Ovis aries: one gene and its partners. The protein of the gene in region 2 binds, or shares a complex with, the protein of the main gene of each other region. Links are inferred from orthologs where the notes say so. Each region holds a gene or a part of one and is shown on either strand. Other genes may lie near its edges.

What was found.
Region 1: EPC1 (region 2) and VPS72 share a complex: the UniProt entries of both Homo sapiens proteins name them as parts of the nuA4-related complex. The link is inferred for Ovis aries from reciprocal best matches to the Homo sapiens genes EPC1 and VPS72.
Region 3: EPC1 (region 2) and MBTD1 share a complex: the UniProt entries of both Homo sapiens proteins name them as parts of the nuA4 histone acetyltransferase complex. The link is inferred for Ovis aries from reciprocal best matches to the Homo sapiens genes EPC1 and MBTD1.
Region 4: EPC1 (region 2) and BRD8 share a complex: the UniProt entries of both Homo sapiens proteins name them as parts of the nuA4-related complex. The link is inferred for Ovis aries from reciprocal best matches to the Homo sapiens genes EPC1 and BRD8.
Region 5: EPC1 (region 2) and ING3 share a complex: the UniProt entries of both Homo sapiens proteins name them as parts of the nuA4 histone acetyltransferase complex. The link is inferred for Ovis aries from reciprocal best matches to the Homo sapiens genes EPC1 and ING3.

The regions. Positions count from the first base shown.
Region 1 is NC_056054.1:101,078,615-101,082,131, forward strand, and holds part of VPS72 (vacuolar protein sorting-associated protein 72 homolog), read right to left. Parts: intron 2,626-3,517; coding exon 2,473-2,625; intron 2,298-2,472; coding exon 2,183-2,297; intron 1,794-2,182; coding exon 1,617-1,793; intron 1-1,616. UniProt on the Homo sapiens protein: Deposition-and-exchange histone chaperone specific for H2AZ1, specifically chaperones H2AZ1 and deposits it into nucleosomes.
Region 2 is NC_056066.1:32,590,637-32,594,153, forward strand, and holds part of EPC1 (enhancer of polycomb homolog 1), read left to right. Parts: intron 1-1,837; coding exon of another isoform or gene 1,838-1,854; exon of another isoform or gene 1,855-1,954; intron 1,955-2,596; coding exon 2,597-2,715; intron 2,716-2,794; coding exon 2,795-2,881; intron 2,882-3,517. UniProt on the Homo sapiens protein: Component of the NuA4 histone acetyltransferase (HAT) complex, a multiprotein complex involved in transcriptional activation of select genes principally by acetylation of nucleosomal histones H4 and H2A.
Region 3 is NC_056064.1:35,292,870-35,296,386, reverse strand, and holds part of MBTD1 (MBT domain-containing protein 1), read right to left. Parts: intron 1,646-3,517; coding exon 1,528-1,645; intron 1-1,527. UniProt on the Homo sapiens protein: Chromatin reader component of the NuA4 histone acetyltransferase complex, a multiprotein complex involved in transcriptional activation of select genes principally by acetylation of nucleosomal histones H4 and H2A.
Region 4 is NC_056058.1:47,270,500-47,274,725, reverse strand, and holds the start of BRD8 (bromodomain-containing protein 8), read left to right. Parts: upstream 1-1,418; 5' UTR 1,419-1,427; coding exon 1,428-1,446; intron 1,447-2,619; coding exon 2,620-2,716; intron 2,717-4,226. Other genes in the region: kinesin-like protein KIF20A, read right to left, coding at 221-382. UniProt on the Homo sapiens protein: May act as a coactivator during transcriptional activation by hormone-activated nuclear receptors (NR). Isoform 2 stimulates transcriptional activation by AR/DHTR, ESR1/NR3A1, RXRA/NR2B1 and THRB/ERBA2.
Region 5 is NC_056057.1:87,076,237-87,079,753, reverse strand, and holds part of ING3 (inhibitor of growth protein 3), read right to left. Parts: intron 3,372-3,517; coding exon 3,271-3,371; intron 1,281-3,270; coding exon 1,215-1,280; intron 1-1,214. UniProt on the Homo sapiens protein: Component of the NuA4 histone acetyltransferase (HAT) complex which is involved in transcriptional activation of select genes principally by acetylation of nucleosomal histones H4 and H2A.

The DNA of each region.
Region 1 (3,517 bases), on a different chromosome or scaffold from region 2:
GCCTGTGTTCCACGCAAGAAGCCACCCTACGACAATGAAGAAGAACCTCTGCTCTCGGCAATGAGAGAGAGCCTGAGGGCAGAACGAAGACCCAGCACAGCCAAATATAAATATTTTTTAAAAGTCGTGACAATACACCCTGAAAATGTTGAAAATTAAATCTTTTGTGGTCTTTTGGAGTGAAAGTGAAAGTCACTCAGTCATGTCCAACTCTTTGTGACCCCATGGACTATACAGTCCATGGAATTCTCCGGAGTGGGTAGCCTTTCCCTTCTCCAGGGGATCTTCCCAACCCAGGGATCGAATCCAGGTCTCCCACATTGCAGGTGGATTCTTTACCAGCTGAGCTACCAGGGATACCCAAGAATACTGGAGTGCATAGCCTATCCCTTCTCCAGTGGATATTCCCAACACAGGAATTGAACCCAGGTTTCCTGCACTGCAGGCAGATTCGTTACCAACTGAGCTATCAAGGAAGCCCCAAAGATGTGCTTCAATGACCGGGAATAGAACCCAGGCGAGGTAGTGAGACCACCAAGTCCTAACCACTAGACCACCAGGGAACTTTCTGGAGTGAAGGTAGCTACATTTCAAAACTACTGATACCATTAAACTAAAATGAGTTAGTGAAAGTGAAGTCACTCAGTCGTGTCCAACTCTTTTCCCCCATGGAGCCTACCAGGCTCCTCCGTCCAGGGGATTTTCTAGGCAAGAATACTGGAGTGGGTTGCCATTTCCTTCTCCAAGAGATCTTCCTGACCCAGGGATTGAACCCAGGTCTCCCGCATTGTAGGCAGACGCTTAACCGTCTGAGCCACCAAGGAAGTCCTTAGGATACCAAGGATACCATTGAACTAAACTGAGTTGGCTCCCAGATATTCTGGGTAAACAATCTTCCACACCACAGTAAAACTGTATTTGGGTTATGCATATTCAATTATATGTGCTTGAGGAAAAAAAGATTCAGAGAGAGAGAAACAGCAAACCAAATATTGTAGATTTCCCCCGTTATTTCACTCAATGCACATATGCTCCAGAGTGAGCACATGATGCGGGGAGTGAAATCTGCTGCTCCCTCATTCATCTCTCATGATCTGAGAACTCTCACCGCCCCTTAAAGAAATGTATGCTTTTGTACTGAATGTTCCCATACAGGACTGTGTGCCCAGTAGCCCATAAACTGAAGAGATCTTATAGAACTTTAACCTTAAAGCAATGTATCTCATGAACGGACTGATTCTACTGAATTTCTAATTCTCATGATCATTAAAGCAGCATTATCATCTCATTGCATTTTGTGAACAAGGAAAGAAAGACACAAGCAGGTTGTAAGTAATTTGCCTGCAGTCTTATAGCAAGTGAGCAGTGGAGCTAGAATCTGAACTCCTTTCCATACAATTCCTATTTTAATACCAAAGCACTTTAATGTAACTTGTTCTTCAGGGCCCTCATTACTGCCTACTTCCTTGCTCCTAATCACTTTCTCTCCCCGTATCTTTCTTCTGATTTCTCTTGTCCCAAATCTCCATCTGTCCAATTCTTTGGGGCCTCTAGATCTAACTTTTCCTTGTGCTTCTCAGCCCCTCTACCCACTGTTCTCAAAACCAAAGACTGACCCAGTGAACGTAAGTTGAGCTCCTCTGTGATCTTGGCCTCCCTGAGCAGCTCCTCCTGGGTCAGTGGCCGCTCACAGTGGGGCCCCTTCCGTCGCCGTGACTGGCCCTGCCTCTCCTGTACCCGAAGGAATGTTTGTCGTGTGTGCTCAGCTGTAGACTGACGCATGGACTTCCGACCTGGGAAGGAAATCATAGGGGAAGAAATCTTTGAACTCATGTCTACCTTCTCTGAATTTAATTTTAAAGCTTTTTATTTGGAAATCATTTCAAACTTACAAAAAAGTTAAGAATAGTACAAAGAACATCCATGAATCCTTTGCCAAATCCTCTGTTAACATTTTGCCCTATTTGCAATCTGTGTGTGCGTATTTTCTGAATAATCTGAGAGTTAAGTTATGCACATCAACATCATGGCTCTCTTCCCTAAATACTCGGTGTATATTTCCTAATTAGAATTATTCCTACATGCTCATAGTAAAGTTATCAACTTCAGTAAACTTAACATGAATACAGTACTTTATCACAACACTTCAACTTTGTCTATTGACTCAAACATCCCCACTCACTGTCAGTGCCATCATCCTGTAGTTCTAATGGAAGCAGTGCCTTCTCTTCTCGAGTCTTCTGAGAGCTACCAGCTGGGGTGCTGACCTTTCGAGGCCTCAGGCTCTTGAGAGGCTCCTGGGGACAGAGTGAAATCAGATACCAGGGAAGAGAAGATATTGGGAGACAATGAAGATGTTAGGAAGAGAAAACCAGCAGAGCAGGAAGTGGGATTGGTGTGGGGCATAATGAGACCTGATGAAAGGGAGAATACAAATTAAGGAAGTCCAAGAAAACCAGGCCTCCCCTGCACCTTATATGCTTTGGTGACTACTCGGCGCTTCCTTCTTGGCTCTTCCGCTTCTCCATCACTGGATGGTTCATCCCCTTCGTCGATATCAAAGTCAGAGTCCACCTCATCCTCTGTGTCGGACTGGTCCCCTTGATACTCATCATCTCCTGATTCCTGAGGACACAGGGAGATGAGGTTCTCACTACCAGTTATTAACGCCCCTCTAGGAGGAAGAGAATCCCTTTGCCTGTTGATAAGGGCTGCCCCACTCTCCTTCCCAGCCTAGCCTTTCATTTTCCTCAGGCAAGAAGGGCTGATGGTCTTTGGCTCCAGCACCACCCCTTCCAACGTTAACTGACTGCCCTTTACCTGCAGCACCCTCCCGTGCTGGCTCCCAGCACAGCACACTGTGTTAAGTGCTGGGGTACAAAAGGATACGGTTTGGTCTCCCCCTTCAGGGTCTCACAGTCAAGTATAGGAAAAGACATCATTATAAATGGAAGTTTTAATACAGGGCAACATATAAACTACCAAATGGCAATAAAATGTTATGGGTGATCAGAGGAAGGCACACCTGCTGTGGACTGATGGCCTGGAAAAGTCTAAATGTTAGACTTTATTCCTTTAGACCAATAGTTGGCAAACTTTTTCTGCAAAGGACCAGATTAAAATAGATAGTGGGTTAGATTCAGCCAGCAGGTTGTAGTTTACTAAACTCTGCTTCAGACTTTAAAGAATGAAGAGGATTTGAGCCATGGTTTAAAACACTGCTAGTATTTAGACAGCCAAGAGGGAAGAGGGAATCCCAGGCAGAGCAAATGACAGGAACAAAGGTACAGAAGCAAGAATGTGCACAGCATGTTTATGGAATAAGGATTTAGACCTAAGCAAAGCAGGTCTGTCTCTGGTAGAAGTCTTCCTAGCTGACTGCTTTTGGCTTCATCACAGCCTCCTTCCAACACTAACTGAATGCCCTAAAGAGCTACAAGATTTGAAAAGAAGGTTGCATTCAATCTATGTGCTCAGTTGTGTCCAACTCTTTGTGACCCCATGGACTGAAGCTGGC
Region 2 (3,517 bases):
GATAAAGCTGAGAATGAAAGGAAAATCAGTATCTCTTGGCCCCTAGACCCATGTTTTTTACTACCATCACTTCTGGTGTATATGATACTGTGCATTTCTTCTAGAACATTTATCAGAAATGTCCAGGGAAATTTTTATAACTAGACTCTGGAGTTTAGAGATATGTAAGAAATAGGCTAACATAGGGATCTAAAATCACAGTGAGTGTTAGTGATCTAAAGTGTTGGTCGCATTTTTTTTTTTAATTTCTAGATCTGCATTAGGAAGTTAACAGTTGTTTAAAAAATGAAATTCACAAAACCCTCAGAGACTGAGGACTGAAATGTTGACTTAAATAGGGTAAAATATTTGGAACCTTTATTGAAATCGATTTATAACTTAATATTGCTAATTTTAAGTCACAAACACCAGCAAAGTTCTGCAAAAGAATATTTTCATTCATATAAATGGAGTTCTGAACACAGATCTATTCTAGTGAATGCTAAATTATTGTTTTTTAGGTGTGTAATGATGTAACCTTCCAGTAATGGGGTTTTTTGTTGTTGTTGTTGTTGTTGTTTTTTCAAGTTTATTAAGCATCTCCTACCAGGAAATTCAAGATTTAGGCAACTCACTCAAGCTTAGGAAATTAAAGTAGATGATGCAAAAACATATTAGCAATACTTAAATTGTCTTTTTGGCATTAAGCAGTTTCTTTTTATGAAATTTTTTAAGCATAAAGATAAATATTATGTTAATTGTAATCTGTTTCAAGACAGCCTTATTTAAAAAAAATTTTTTTTAAGTTCTGATTTAACTTATTTCTGTTATATGGAAATGGTCATTTTGACAGAAACTTGCTTTTATGAAACTATTTATGGATTATCCTTTTAGCAATAAAAAAATGTATTTATCAATAAAAAAGAATTTTTCCTGCAGAGTTCAGAGCTGAGGATTACCAACATAGTAGGAAAAAAACAGGGCTTCCCTGGTGGCTCAGTTGTGAAGAATCCACCTGCCAATCAGGCGATAATGGGTTCAGTCTCTGGGCCAGGAAGATCCCCTGAAGAAGGAAATGGCAACCCATTCCAGTATTCTTGCCTGGGAAATCCTGTGGACACAGGAGCCTGGGGACACAGTCCATGGGGTCGCAAAAGAATCGAGCATGACTGACTAAATAACAAGAAGAATCTCATCACAGGACATATATCAACTAAACAGATGTGTAACACCAAAAATAGGAAAATAAATGGTAGAGTTTTTCCAACAAATGATTTTTTGCCTTTGTAACCCAGGAAATTAGTTCAGCTCAAGTATGAAAGTCTGTGTAAGTACTGCAACTTCAGAGGTTTTCTGAAATATTATGTCACAGTTTTCTGACTTGTTTAAAATATGGTAGAATTTCTACCTAACTTCTAGCTAAGTATTTTCTAGTTGTCCTAGGCAGAAACTCTGCCCCAGAAGATAAAGATTCTCATGAGTTATAAGGGAAAATTGCAAAACTTGATGATGTAATATTCTAAATAAATTATCAAAACATCTTTAAAGATGACAAATTAGTTGACAGTATTTTGAAGACATTAAACCTTAGATTGAGGGAATATGCATGGTTTATAGATTCCCTAGTGACTGAGGATGCATGCTAACCCTTTTTTTTCTGTTCTGAAATAATTCTTACCCAAACACCACAGGCTTCTTAAAGAAGCCTTAAAGTCAGATGTTGTGATTGTATGTACGTTTTTTTCTTTTTTTTTTTTTAATTGGCAAAAAAAAAAAAGAAAAAGGTTTTCCTTTTTAAAAACTGCACACACTTTTTGGGGGGGTAATAAATGAACATTTTTTTGTTTGTTTTTTTTAGAACTGAGCTCTCCATAGACAAACATAAGTAGCATAACACAGTGTCTTTCCTCAGACATCATTCTGTACAGTAAGCCAACATAAACAACTCCGTTCTTATTGACTGGATTTTTTCCAGGTGGGTTAATTGGGTGGGGAAAATTAATTAACCTTTGGAGCCTCTTTTCTTCCTGTTAAACTTAAAGGATGGGTTCTTTTTTTAAAAAAAAAAAAAAAAGGTAATAAACCAACAACCTTATATTTCATATGGAGGAAATATTTGTAATGACTAAAATTCAGAACTATGTAGAACAGCTAGTATTTCTGCACAGAACTGCTGGAGATCATCTGAATGGATTAGGACAGTAGTATGAATAAATAAAGACACCAGATGGTAATTATTGTATCTCTTCTTAAGCTCAGTGCAAAGCTGAATTTCCAACATGCGGTTGAAAAAAGCTGGTATTACCTTTTACACTGTCTGGCACAAGTGTCACAGCTTACCAAAAAAATAATGGTTTCAAAGCTTGGGAAGTGAGCACTTCTCTTTGGTATGTGCAACTCAAAGTTTCACTTTATTTCTCTTTAAACTCAAGCCACTCTTGTCAAGCGTGGTTATAAAAAATGCTGAAATTCTCATTCAGAAGTGATCTTTAACAGGATGCTCAAATGCTTTCATTTTGCGCAAATTTTTTTAAATGCTTAAATGTGTTTTCGTATATTGTAAGTTGCATGTGATAGCTGTGCGTTTCTATAAAGTGTTCTCTCGTTTTATGTTCAGCATTTACAGCCGAACAATACCAGCAACATCAACAGCAGCTGGCACTCATGCAGAAACAGCAGCTTGCACAAATTCAGCAACAGCAAGCAAGTAGTAATTCCGCCACCACCATGCCACAGGTGAGGGATTTGTCTGTCTTATGATTATCCCTCATGTTTCCCACCAGAGTTCATCTCTAATTACCAACTGTTGTCATAGAGCCTTGCATCTAACCAGCAGAAAAGTGGCTTTCGCCTGAATCTACATCATAGCCACTCTATACAGGGTTTAGAAAGAACATTACAGGTGAGTATAGAAGCTGTCACCCTCTGCTTCCTATTGTAAAAAAGTAAAACCTAAAAGCGCAAATGAGATGGAGACCCTGTCCTCAAGCCTGATCTTGTAGTCTGTGAATGTACCTCTTTAACTTACAGCCCCACCCAGCTCATTATCTGGAGAACTTTTAATTCTTCTTAAAATGTATTAAAAATTATGCTAAAATAACTTCTTTTACTCTTAAAAGAAATCACTTTTGAACCTAAAGCATGATAAATATTGGCCATTTAAGCACATTTATAGAACTTAACGGAAGGCTGAGATTTGTGTCTCTAGACATCTGAGAGGAAAATATCATTTAAAAAATTCAAGGGGCCTCTTAATCTCTAGGCTGAGTTAGGATGCGATTGATGTTTTGTTCCTCTGTTCTAAAGGGGTAGTCACCTTACTGTCCCTTGGCTGCCTTAGGTTGTGTATGTATGTGTGTAAGTTTGGTGAAGGGAGTTTTGCCTACTCACCCATTCATTATATGAATTTATTCATGCAGTGATTCATTGCAAATCACCAAAATGTTTTACTAGCATGTTTCTTGTTTAACACTTTGTGTTGGAGGTTTACCATTTCCACATTTTAAAGGTTTATTTTGGTAATTTCATATTATATATT
Region 3 (3,517 bases), on a different chromosome or scaffold from region 2:
ACTGAGTATTAAATACATTGATCTTTAGAGCCATTTATATGCAAGTGATTTAAATATCAAGCAAAAAATATATATTGCTGTTTTAAACAAGGTACAGGGAATATTTAGATAATGTCTATATAGCTGGGGGCTTCCCTGGTGGTTCAGATGGTAAAGAATCTGATTGCAATGCAAGATTTGATCCCTGGGTCAGTAAGATCCCCTGGAGAAGGGAATGGCTACCCACTCCACTATTCTTGCCTGGAGAATTCCACAGACAGAGGAGCCTGGCAGACTACAGTCCACGGAATTCCAAAGAGTCAGACAGGACTGAGCAACTAACACTTTCACTTTTTCACTTACATAAGCTGGGGAAATGTTTCATGGAAAAGGTAGGAACTGTACTGGGTTAAATAAGGTAAGTGAGAGAGTGAGAATGAGAAAAGGAATGAAGGTGACATAGAATATGTTATATGAGAGAGAAGGAAAACTAATCTCAGCAGAACAGATCTTTTACGTCGGGGAACAATAAAAAATCTGTTCAGTGGTGTACAGTGAAACTTAACAATAGTTGTAAATGCTGACCATCCTGATCCTTTAAGGACAAAGAAGGCGCTAAAGACAGAAAAATGGAATTGAGATCATTTTTAGGTAAATTAAGTCTATCAGCAGTACACAGGGTGGAATAGGCAAGGCATTTTTGGGAAGATGGCTGGAGATAAGACTAGAAAGAGTAGGATGAGTAAGATACCTCTTCCAGTAATCACAGGATACCTTTCATTATCTGAGTGGCTGCTCCTCCTCTGAAGTATCACAGTATCCTACTATACCACTTACTAAGCACCTTATCATAAAACATATTCAATATTTAGCAGATGTACACTCACCAAAAAAATCTTTTAAGTTTGCACATCACCTGTCCACAGGGTCTAACATAGTAGATACCTAACACATTTACTTTGTGGGCTGGGATACATGGAAGAGGTGGGACTGAAGAAAATATAGTACCCAAAATAGATGAAATTTTCATCATTAGTTTACTTCTGATATTATGGACCGTATCACTTTTTTTTAATACTTTTTGTTACTTTCTGAAATATTTCCCTGTATCAGAGGTTGAGGAAACTATAGGGCCCGCAGATTTGGCCTACTGTCATCCATAATAGTTTTTACATTTTTAAATGGTTGAAAAAAAATTAGATGTAAAGTAATATTTTTTGATATGTAACAATTACATGAAACTCAAATTTTAGTGCCCATAAATCAAGGGTTACTAGAACACATTCATTTATGCCATGCCTGTTCATTTATGCGTTGCTTTGGCTGATCCTATGCTATGATAGAGTTAAATGGTTGTGACAGAGACTGCTTTGGTCACAAAGCTAAATATATTCACTGCTTTGCTTTGTTTTTAACAAAAAAAAAGTTTGCTAACCTTTGCCCTATATCATACTTACTTGGCAATATTTGAAAATTTACAAAAATGTTTTCTTACAAATTACAAATACACGTGATTTTTTAAAGTGAATTATTATGCATGTTTTTCACCTGCTAATTTTACTATTCCAGCGATCCAGAAGACTTTGGTAGGTAGGCTGCAGTCTGTATTGGGAACTTCTACTCTCACATTTTCTGAGATATCACCCCAGCAGGTCCCCATAGGTGCCTGTCATATAAAAATTATTAAATTATCATCTTATTAAATAAAGCCTAAAACATATGGTTCAAAATTAAGCACTATTATTCAATCATGGTAACATTAAACTAAAAATACCATTTAATTCATTCTTTTTTCCTAAAAATATAATTGTTATCCCTTGCATCACAGAATTCTATTTAGAAAAAGCCAGTGTCAGGGACAAGCTCAAGACGAAGAGAATTCACATATACTAGAACTGATCTATACCCAGTTCAAAATTCAATAGTGCTCAAATATAAGACTTGAGAGCAATTTTTATAAATGCCAAATTACAAACTTGATATTAGGTTTCACAGGAAAAAGTTGACTTAAAAATTCATTATTTTATCATGAACTGAATGAATGTACTTTACCTTAACCTCTAATTTTAAAAGATCTGGCTAAAGAGTAGAAAGAAAGAATTTCAATCAGCAATGTGGTTTCCAGTAACACAGAGAAACAAAACTTAGTTATCTGTATTTTCAACTTCAGTTAAGTTCGCAGAACAGAAACATAGTCTGTTACAACAGACTTGTGGCAAAAGCACCAGATAAAGTTGTTAAAACGGTGAAGTTAAAGAGATTTTGGAGAATCGTACATAGTAAATTATTAAATGATTTATTATTTCAAAATTTCTCACGCAGGAATTACAATAAACAAAGAAAACTTTCAATGTTAGATCTGATAGTAATCAGCCTCCACACAAATGGTTAAGATGGGGACGTAGAAAACTAATTAAATGAATATCATGAAGGGATTTGCCAACATTTAGTGTGTTTCCAAATTACAATTTCCATTATATTTTAATCCTTAAATTTGAGGCAGTTTATCATTATTTGGAATTTAGCAAAGGCTAATTAAACCAAAATGAATTTAGGAATTTAAATGCTGATAATACCAAACAGTCTCTGTGGCCCTTGATAATCAGCTCCTCATTAAATACAATTCAGAACCCTGATCACAAGAAGTATTAGGTAAGGATGTAAAAGACTTGATAACATGAACAAATCAGGAAAAGACAAAATAGCTTCAAAGCTAAAAGATGACTAAACACAAAGATATCCAAGAGTCACGCAAACTAGTCCATCTGAACACTGGACAAATGTCTTCCATGCAAGGCTGCTCATCTTGGGTAGTCGCTAACCCAAAAGGGGGTTAGCTTAAAACAGTACTCAACCCATATGCTCTCAACAGCTTAAGGAATTTCTGAAGGACAGGAAGAAAATGTCAAATAATACTGAACTAGGATAAGTCTAGAAACCAAACACAGAATCAACTTATGGCTATTTCTTTAAGTAGCAAGCAAAGAATATACTTCAATCACTTGGATACAGTGGCCTATCTCAAGTATTTCTAATTCTGGAAGGATACACGTAACTATCTTCCTGAGCTGTACAAAAAATAATACATCCACTATGACTACCTCTTTCTGCTATTTTTAAATGGAAAGAATGGACTCTTCAGGTTCTGCTATCTCCCCCTATATCATTCTAGACTGTAGGGCCATCCCTATTGCCAGCAGATATGATCAGAAAAGGAGAGGCTGGAAGGAAGATAGGTAACAGATTAAGCTACCATATATTAACACAAAGACCATGTATTAATTTCTGTGAGGATAAACCAATTTCAGCAGACAGATGTAGTGGAATGTATGCATTAAATTAAGGCAGGATATCCATTCCTCTTTGTTTGGCTGCCAAGCCTTATGAAATGGGCTTTATTTTTCATTAAGAAGGAAGACGCCATGGTTATGCTGACAAGCTGTGTGTAAAGATGAGCACACTGCTAAAAGAATTTGGCATATAGGACTCCCTTTTGAGTTAGGTGTGACAATGTCATACTGACTTTTTTTTTTTTTAA
Region 4 (4,226 bases), on a different chromosome or scaffold from region 2:
TAAATTGAGAGTAAGCGTTCAGTTTCATTAATGCAACGCAATTAATAGCTTTCTTATGGACACACAACTGTACATTTTTTACTTATCATGCTCTTAATTTTGAGTTGACCTGTCAAACTCTAGAATTGCTGGGTTTTTTTACCTCATGCTTCTCTGTATGGACAGCTAGTAGGCTGATTATATCACTTTCAGTCCCCAAGCCACTCTTCAACTCCTTTACCTGCTTGTCTTCCAGGGAGGTGGAGATGACAGAGCAGTCTGACAGCAGGTCCTTGCGTATAACAGATCCCAAATCTGCAGCTGTGGACTCAAACATGGGGGAGACTACGACCTCCTCATCGGACAGCAAGCCAGCTGGTGGAGAAAGGATCCCTTGCGACATGGCAGCAGGGGCAGTTTAGGTCTAAAAAGAGACAAGAGTGGGTAGGGAGGAGAACCTTAAGGGATAAAAGGGGCTGAAGAATTCGCCCTCTTTTCTAGGTAAGAAACAATTCCCTTGCCCCAGGGCAACCTAGTCTCGCTGCCTGAATTCCTACTCCCTTCTCCTTTCGACTACCAGCAAACGGGAAAGAGAGAAAGAGTTAATCATTTAATCCAATCTGAGGCAGCATTTCGGACCGCGAACAGGAATGAACAGATATCTAACTCCGAAAACATAAGGCCAAGTTCCAAGTAGGGAGCCTCCCTCAGCCGTGTCAGAAGCCCTAGGCTCATTCTCTATACCTCGCTTCTAGGCCCACGGTGAGGACAGAATTATTAAGAAAAACAGAAATGGCGGCAGTTCCGCTTTCTGAATGCCTAATCCGCCAGAGCAAAGGTGCCCCAACTTGACTCAAGTTCAGCCGCACACTTACCTAAAGACGCCACACTTCTACGGGACCGGCTCACTCACACCCCACAGCCGAAACTGGGCTTTCGGCAGCTTGAGAGGACAACCCCACCCACGAAGCGCACCTTTGTTTCTGATACAATGTTTTAAATTGCGCGCTGAGTTCGTTCGGCCAATCAGATAGCGAACCTTGCACCTACCAATCAGTGCAAGGGGGCGGGCGAAACCCGGAAACGGTTTTCTTAGGCTTGACCTCTCTGCTCAAATGTGGGACGGGTTACCAACTGTTGGATTTTGGAGCTGGGTCAACTGGAACTTCTGTTTATCAGTTTTTCTTGAACCCTAGGCATTTCTTTTCTAAGAAGCCTGAAGGAAATCCTAAGGCTTCAGCCACCATTCTCTGTTCTTTCGCACATTCCTTCTCAGGAACTCACAAGAATACCTGATTTGGGGCGCTGGTTCATCCTAGGGTGGGGAGAGGGGACTACATTTCCCAGGACGCACCGCGAATAAACGCTGGAACGCTATCTCCCAGAATTCCTTGGGCTTCAATTCGGCCAGAAATCTTCCTTCGGGGGTTGGAGACGTCGGGGCCAAGATGGCGACGGGAACGGGCAGTAAGTATCTGCCTTGCTCTTGCGTGGAAGGTGTTTGTAGAACCAAGGCCAGGCAACAGATCTGTCACACTCTTAGGGAGTAGAAGCAGTGATTCACCTGAGAGCCCAGAGCCATCAGAGACTTGGGCTCGAGCGGCGCTGTTAAGGCCAGCGGTTGGGGGTTGAGGGCCCAGAAGCGTGAAGTCTTACACTTAAGTAAGGCCGCGGAGTTTTTTTGCTTTTAGAATTTTTATTTATTGGCTGCGCTGGGTCTTCGTCGCTTTCCGTGGACTGTTCTCTAGTTGCCGCGAGGAGTGCTCCTCTCTAGTTGTGGTGTGCAAGGCCACGGAGCTTTGAGAAAAGCAGCCTAAGAAAATTCTTGTATGTTTGTCAGCTCTGCGGGGTGAGAGGGAAAAAAGGTGCCTTAGAGGCTCCGGCGTGCGGACAGAGATGCTGTGAGCCATATGGAGTGGCCGGGGTCCCAAAGAGTCATTTTCTGACGAACATTTGTGAGGCCTGTACTCACAGAGAGATGGGACATGTTAATCGTGAGCTTTTTCTGCCACTAGGGAAAAAATACATTTCCTGTATCTCAGCCATTTCCCTCTGTTTCAGGGACTGAGAAGGTCTTGTAGGCCTAACAGCTTGAGGGGAATGGGTGTAACTGAGAGAAGTAAACAAGTTTATGCTAAGAAGGAGGCGGGGCAGTAGCGGGGGTTGGCCGCTCGGAATCCTGGGAAATAAGGCCTGGGGTCCACTTTGGAATAAAGCATTCTTTTTTTTTTGGCCAGGGCAGAGCTGGGAGGTTGGTGGTTGGCAGGATCATGGGACCCACGTCCCCTCTAGGGAAAAGGCACAGACTTAACCACTGGACCACCAGGGAAGTTCCTGGAATAAAGCATTCTTAAAACTGGGTTTTTTGGAAGAACTGCCCTAAATTAACTTGACTTTTTTTTTTTTAAATATGGTAGAGTAACCATGGCATTTACAGAAAAATGTTTTGCCAGATAATCAAGTGCAGTTCTCAAGCAATGAATAGGCACCATCCTAGTGGTGGTGTTTACTAGAGAGGTGAAAATCAAGATTTGGTGATAGTGGCTCACTTTGTCCTTACAGGTTAGGACATTTTTGTATTAGACTTTTAATCCTCCCTTTGGGACTTAGTGCCTCAGTGGTTGTCTCTAAATCTTTCAGAACATAAGCTGCTGAGTACTGGCCCTACAGAGCCATGGTCCATCCGAGAGAAGCTGTGTTTAGCGTCTTCTGTCATGAGGAGTGGAGATCAAAATTGGTAAGGTATTTAGGATATCTGCTTCCTTGGGTATTAGAAACCGTTTTTTTTTTTTCCCCTTCATGTAAGTACCGGTGGATTCCAGTAGTTAACGTTTAAGCAGTAGTTAACAGCCTTCTTGAGATGCAATTACATATCACAAAATTATATTCACAGAATTCCCAGTATATTCACAGGATTTAACTTAATTTATTAAAATTATTAAAACTTATTAATATTTAATTTATTAAATTCACATAATTTACATAGGACCAATGCTAGAGTCTAATTTTACATTTTAAATACACTTGAAAGAAACCTCTTACCCTTAAGGAATCACTCTGCAAATCTCTTCGCCTCTCTAATATTTCCGCCTCCCTCACCAAACACTCATCTACTTTCTGTCTCTCTATAGCTTATTCTGATCATTTCATATAGATGGAATCATATACTTTGTGGTACTCTGGGGCTTAGCATAATGCTTTCAGGGTTCATGCTGGAGTATGCATCAGTACTTTATTCTTTGTTTTGATGAAATTGTAGTTCCTTGTATGGGTTTACCACATTTTGTTCATTTGTTGATGAACATTTGAGTGGTTTTTACTTTGCTGAATATTAATGCCGCTGTGAACATTTGTGTACAAGCTTTTGTGCAGGCATGTTTTCATTTCTCTTGAAAGAGTGGAATTGCTGGATCATAGTTGAGTTCAGTCACTCAGTCGTGTCCAACTCTGCTACCCCATGGACTGCAGCACGCCAGGCTTCCCTGTCCATTACCAATTCCTGGAGTTTACTCAGACTCATGTCCATTGAGTTGGTGATACCATCCAACCATCTCATCCTCTGTTGTCCCCTTCTCCCGCCTTCAATCTTTCCCAGCATCAGGTCTTTTCAAATGAGTCAGCTCTTCAAATCAGGTGGCCAAAATATTGGAGTTTCAGTTTCAACATCAGTCCTTCCAGTGAATATTCAGGACTGATTTCCTTTAGGGTGGACTGGTTTGATTTCCTTTCAGTCCAAGGGACTCTCAATGGATCATATTATAACTCATATTTATCTTTTTGAGGAACTGCTTTCAAACTAAAAAGTGGCCTCACCGTTTTACATTCCCACCAGCAATAAATGAGGGACCCAGTTTTTCTGCATGCTTGGCAAACATTTAGTCTTTTTGATTATAGCTATACTGCTGAGTGTGAAATGGTATTGTATTGTGGTTTTAATTTGTGTTTCTTTTAAGTACCAGAAAGTAGGACTGTGTGTGTTTTCCAATCTTTTTTTCTACCAGGACATAGTCTCATTTTTAACATTTGGTCTCCCCGCCCCCGACTTTTTTTTTTCTCTCCGTATCTAAAGTTACCTTTTAGTTGTCTTAAGTGTTAAAATTACTTAATAAACAAATTTGCATTTGTAGGGTTTATCTCTACTACTTTAACCATTCAAATGAGTTTATGAAAGCACCATTACTGATCACATGTAACACTTCTACAATTCTATGTATTTTTCAAATAACTTTTCAAAGAGAAAACCAGAA
Region 5 (3,517 bases), on a different chromosome or scaffold from region 2:
TTATAGACTTAATTCAAGACCAAAACAATTAAGAACTTTATTTGGGTTTCATTCCACCATAAATCAAGCCACCAGCCCACTCTACCCGTCTTTAGGCAGCATCTTTTATGAAACTGTTTTTAGAGTAACTGATGGACAGGGAGGCCTGGCGTGCTGCGATTCATGGAGTCGCAAAGAGTCGGACACGACTGAGCGACTGAACTGAACTGATGAACAAAACAGCCTAGGTTGTTACAGCCATTAAAATACTTTCACTATATAAAAGCAATTAACCATTTTCTGTGGTTTTATACAACATATATTTTCTAGTTTAGTATAGCACTCACAATGCATAGCATATGGGGTATGTACCTTTTATCTGTGTCTTACTCACCAATGACACCTATATTAACATGTACCCGTTCAATAAAAAAACTGTACCCAGACAAGACTACAAAAATAAGATATGAATCAATATGCTAAAGCAAATCAAAAGGAAACATTTGTCTCTAGCTTTAACTTGCTTTGAGGCAGAACCAAAAAAGAGCATTTCCTAAAACATAAACTTTGGGACACGCTGTACATTAAAACAAAAGAAGAAGACAGACTATAACAACCTGAGAAATATTGCATATATCTATCTTCTTAGTGATTTCAATCATTAAGAAGTGCTGCTGCTACTGTTAAAAAAAGAAAAAAATTTTTAAGTCTATTTAATCTTGTATTTCCCAGTTTTGCCACGTGTGCCAGTTGTTGAGTACTATCTAATGAATTTCACTTAATAGACAGCTGAGTACTATCTATTAACAGATTCAAGTAGGTCCCTTTTTCACTTTAATCAGGACTACCAAGAACTGTCAGCACAATCCCCTTAGGAGAGTTCTGCCACAGAAACTATCTCAAGATGTTTTATTGGGCAAGTAAACACACTACCTTAAGAAGATAAAAATTAGTAAAATAAAGTTAAGCACCTATTTTAATACAAAAAAAAAGCCTAACAACAGCTACAATCTTACAGTGACGTAGATATGGCTAAATGTAAGGTTCTTAACTTACTGACTGTGGACTCTCTCTCTTCCACAAAGAAATCAAAAAGTGGACAGTGAACTCTGAAGTTAAATGAGATCCAACGAGCAATAATTCAGTTTAGTCTGTCCTTCCTATTACATTTAAGTCAACACCATTTAAAACATAATCCATAATTCAAATACTTATGGCTATTAATTTTTACTTACCAAGTCATATATCTGGTTTGCCAACTGAACCTTCTCGTCTGCATCTTCCAAAGCTTTATAGTAATCCTGAATAAAAACATTCATGTTTCAGGAACAAATTAATAACTTAAAAATCTGTGTATCCAGGACCTATAACTGCATTTGCATTATCATGGCTTGTTATCACTGTCAGTCATTACAGAGCTTCCCTGGTGGCTCCGATGGTAAAGAATCAACCTGCAATGAGGGAGACCTAGGTTCAATCCTTGTGTTGGGACAATCCCCTGGAAAAGAGAATGGTTATCTACTCCAGTATTCTTGCCTGGAGAATCCTATGGACAGAGGAACCTGGAGGACTCCAGTCCATGGGGTTGCAAAGAGTCAGACACGACTGAGTGACTAAGCACTCAGGAACATACATTATACATGAGCCATAAAAATCCAGTTAGGTATAGGGTGGGGATGGGATAGTATTAGAAATCTTAGACAACAACCAAGGATTAAAGGAAGATGTTCAGAATTCCTAGAAAAGAGATAACAAATAAACACCATCCAGGTCTAGCTATACTAGTCAAAATTAGGTCAGCCAAAGAGTAATTCTTTTTCTTTAAAAATAGATGTTACTTAGGATTCATCTAGTTTGTAAAGAGTGTTTACACTCTCCATTTTTAACACTTATTATAAAGAACTACTGAAAGGCTTCTGACCTGCACATCCATTGTGCAGTTGTTCTGCGACTCTCATTTTAAGCTAGGTATCAGTTCTCTCCAGTATAAAACAAACTATTTTTTCTTAAATTCTATGAATTTCCATGAACTGTCAAGAGTTTTTAGGGTATATCCAGGCTGTGCTGCACCAGAAACTTAGTAGGAAAAGGGGATGATGAATGACTTTAGGATGTATATGTGTGATGTCTATACTCACACACACTCGGGCCTCCAGGTATCCTGCAAGTCAGGGTTAATTCTACAAAAGATTCTCATGTTTTTGTTCCTAACAGAAATAATATTCCCTTCATGTAGTAAAACAGATAACACAAGTAGTTTCCAAATTTCTTTCTCAGTTGAATAATTCTATGAAGGGTAAGGGTAAGGGAGCCATTATTACTCAGAGATATTAAAGGACATGTCCCACATCACAAAGTCAAACTGCAGAGTCATGATCAAACCCAGGGCTTGTAAATCATTCTTCCAATATGTCCGCAAATTAACTAGACCATATCTCTAAAGCAAACCTTGAGGAGAGAGCTGCTACCCATTCTAATCTGGAAGGGAGCTCTAAGTACTACAAAACTTGTCAGCATTCTGTTCTCCTATGATTCCACCAACATAGGTACTTAGCAATATATGAAATATGCTTCAAGGTTGCTAATTTTCATCCCAGTCTGTTGCCCAAATTGGAAGATACTATACTGAGTTGGTCAAAAAGGTCATTTGAGTTTTTCCATCACATTTTATGAGCTGAATGAGCTTTTTGGCCAACCCAATAGATCTTAAGACAAGGGAACTTTAATTCCCCATAATTAGAATAAAACAAATTAAAAGAAAAAAATGTACTTTTTAAATGGCTTTGTAACTCTCTGATTAGTCACTGATTATTGAAATACTGTTCTAAATTACCAAAATGCTTCAATGTTTGAAAGTTCCTACACCTGAAGCTCTAAAATGTAATGAATCATTTTTAATTTTGTAAGTCATTTTAAAATTCTAAAGAGCTACTGATAACTTTCTCTCATTTTGATATCCCCCCCCATTTAATATTAAAATGTCTTCCTCAGCTGTGCTGTGCTCAGTTACGTCCAATTTTCAACTGCTGAAAGTCGTGTTCAGTCTTTTGTGACCCCAGGGACTGTAGCTTGCCAGGCTCCTCTGTCCATGAAATTTTTCAGGCTAGAACACTGGAGCAGGTTGCCATTTCCTATTGCAGGGGATCTTTCTGACCCAGGGATGAAATCCGAGTCTCTTAGGTCTCCTGCACTGGCAGGTGGATTCTTTACCGTCACGACTCCTGGGAATCCCCTATCTTCCTCGGAGAGTTCCAGTATTTACAGATAAATCATCCAGAGCGTTGAACACACCTTTTTGATGGAAGCCATTTGTTCTTCTCGCCACTCTGGCTTATTTTTCTTTGCATTCATGAAGAATTCACTGACTCTTTGTTCTAGCTGATCCATTGCATCTAGGACATAATAAAAACATTTCATATTTAGATGACCAAACTCATATACTGAATATACATGCTTTGATGTGAAGAAAGATGTGATGTGAAAATATCTGACTACATACACTCTTTTACTTGGTCTGTAACTTAAATACGTCACGTTC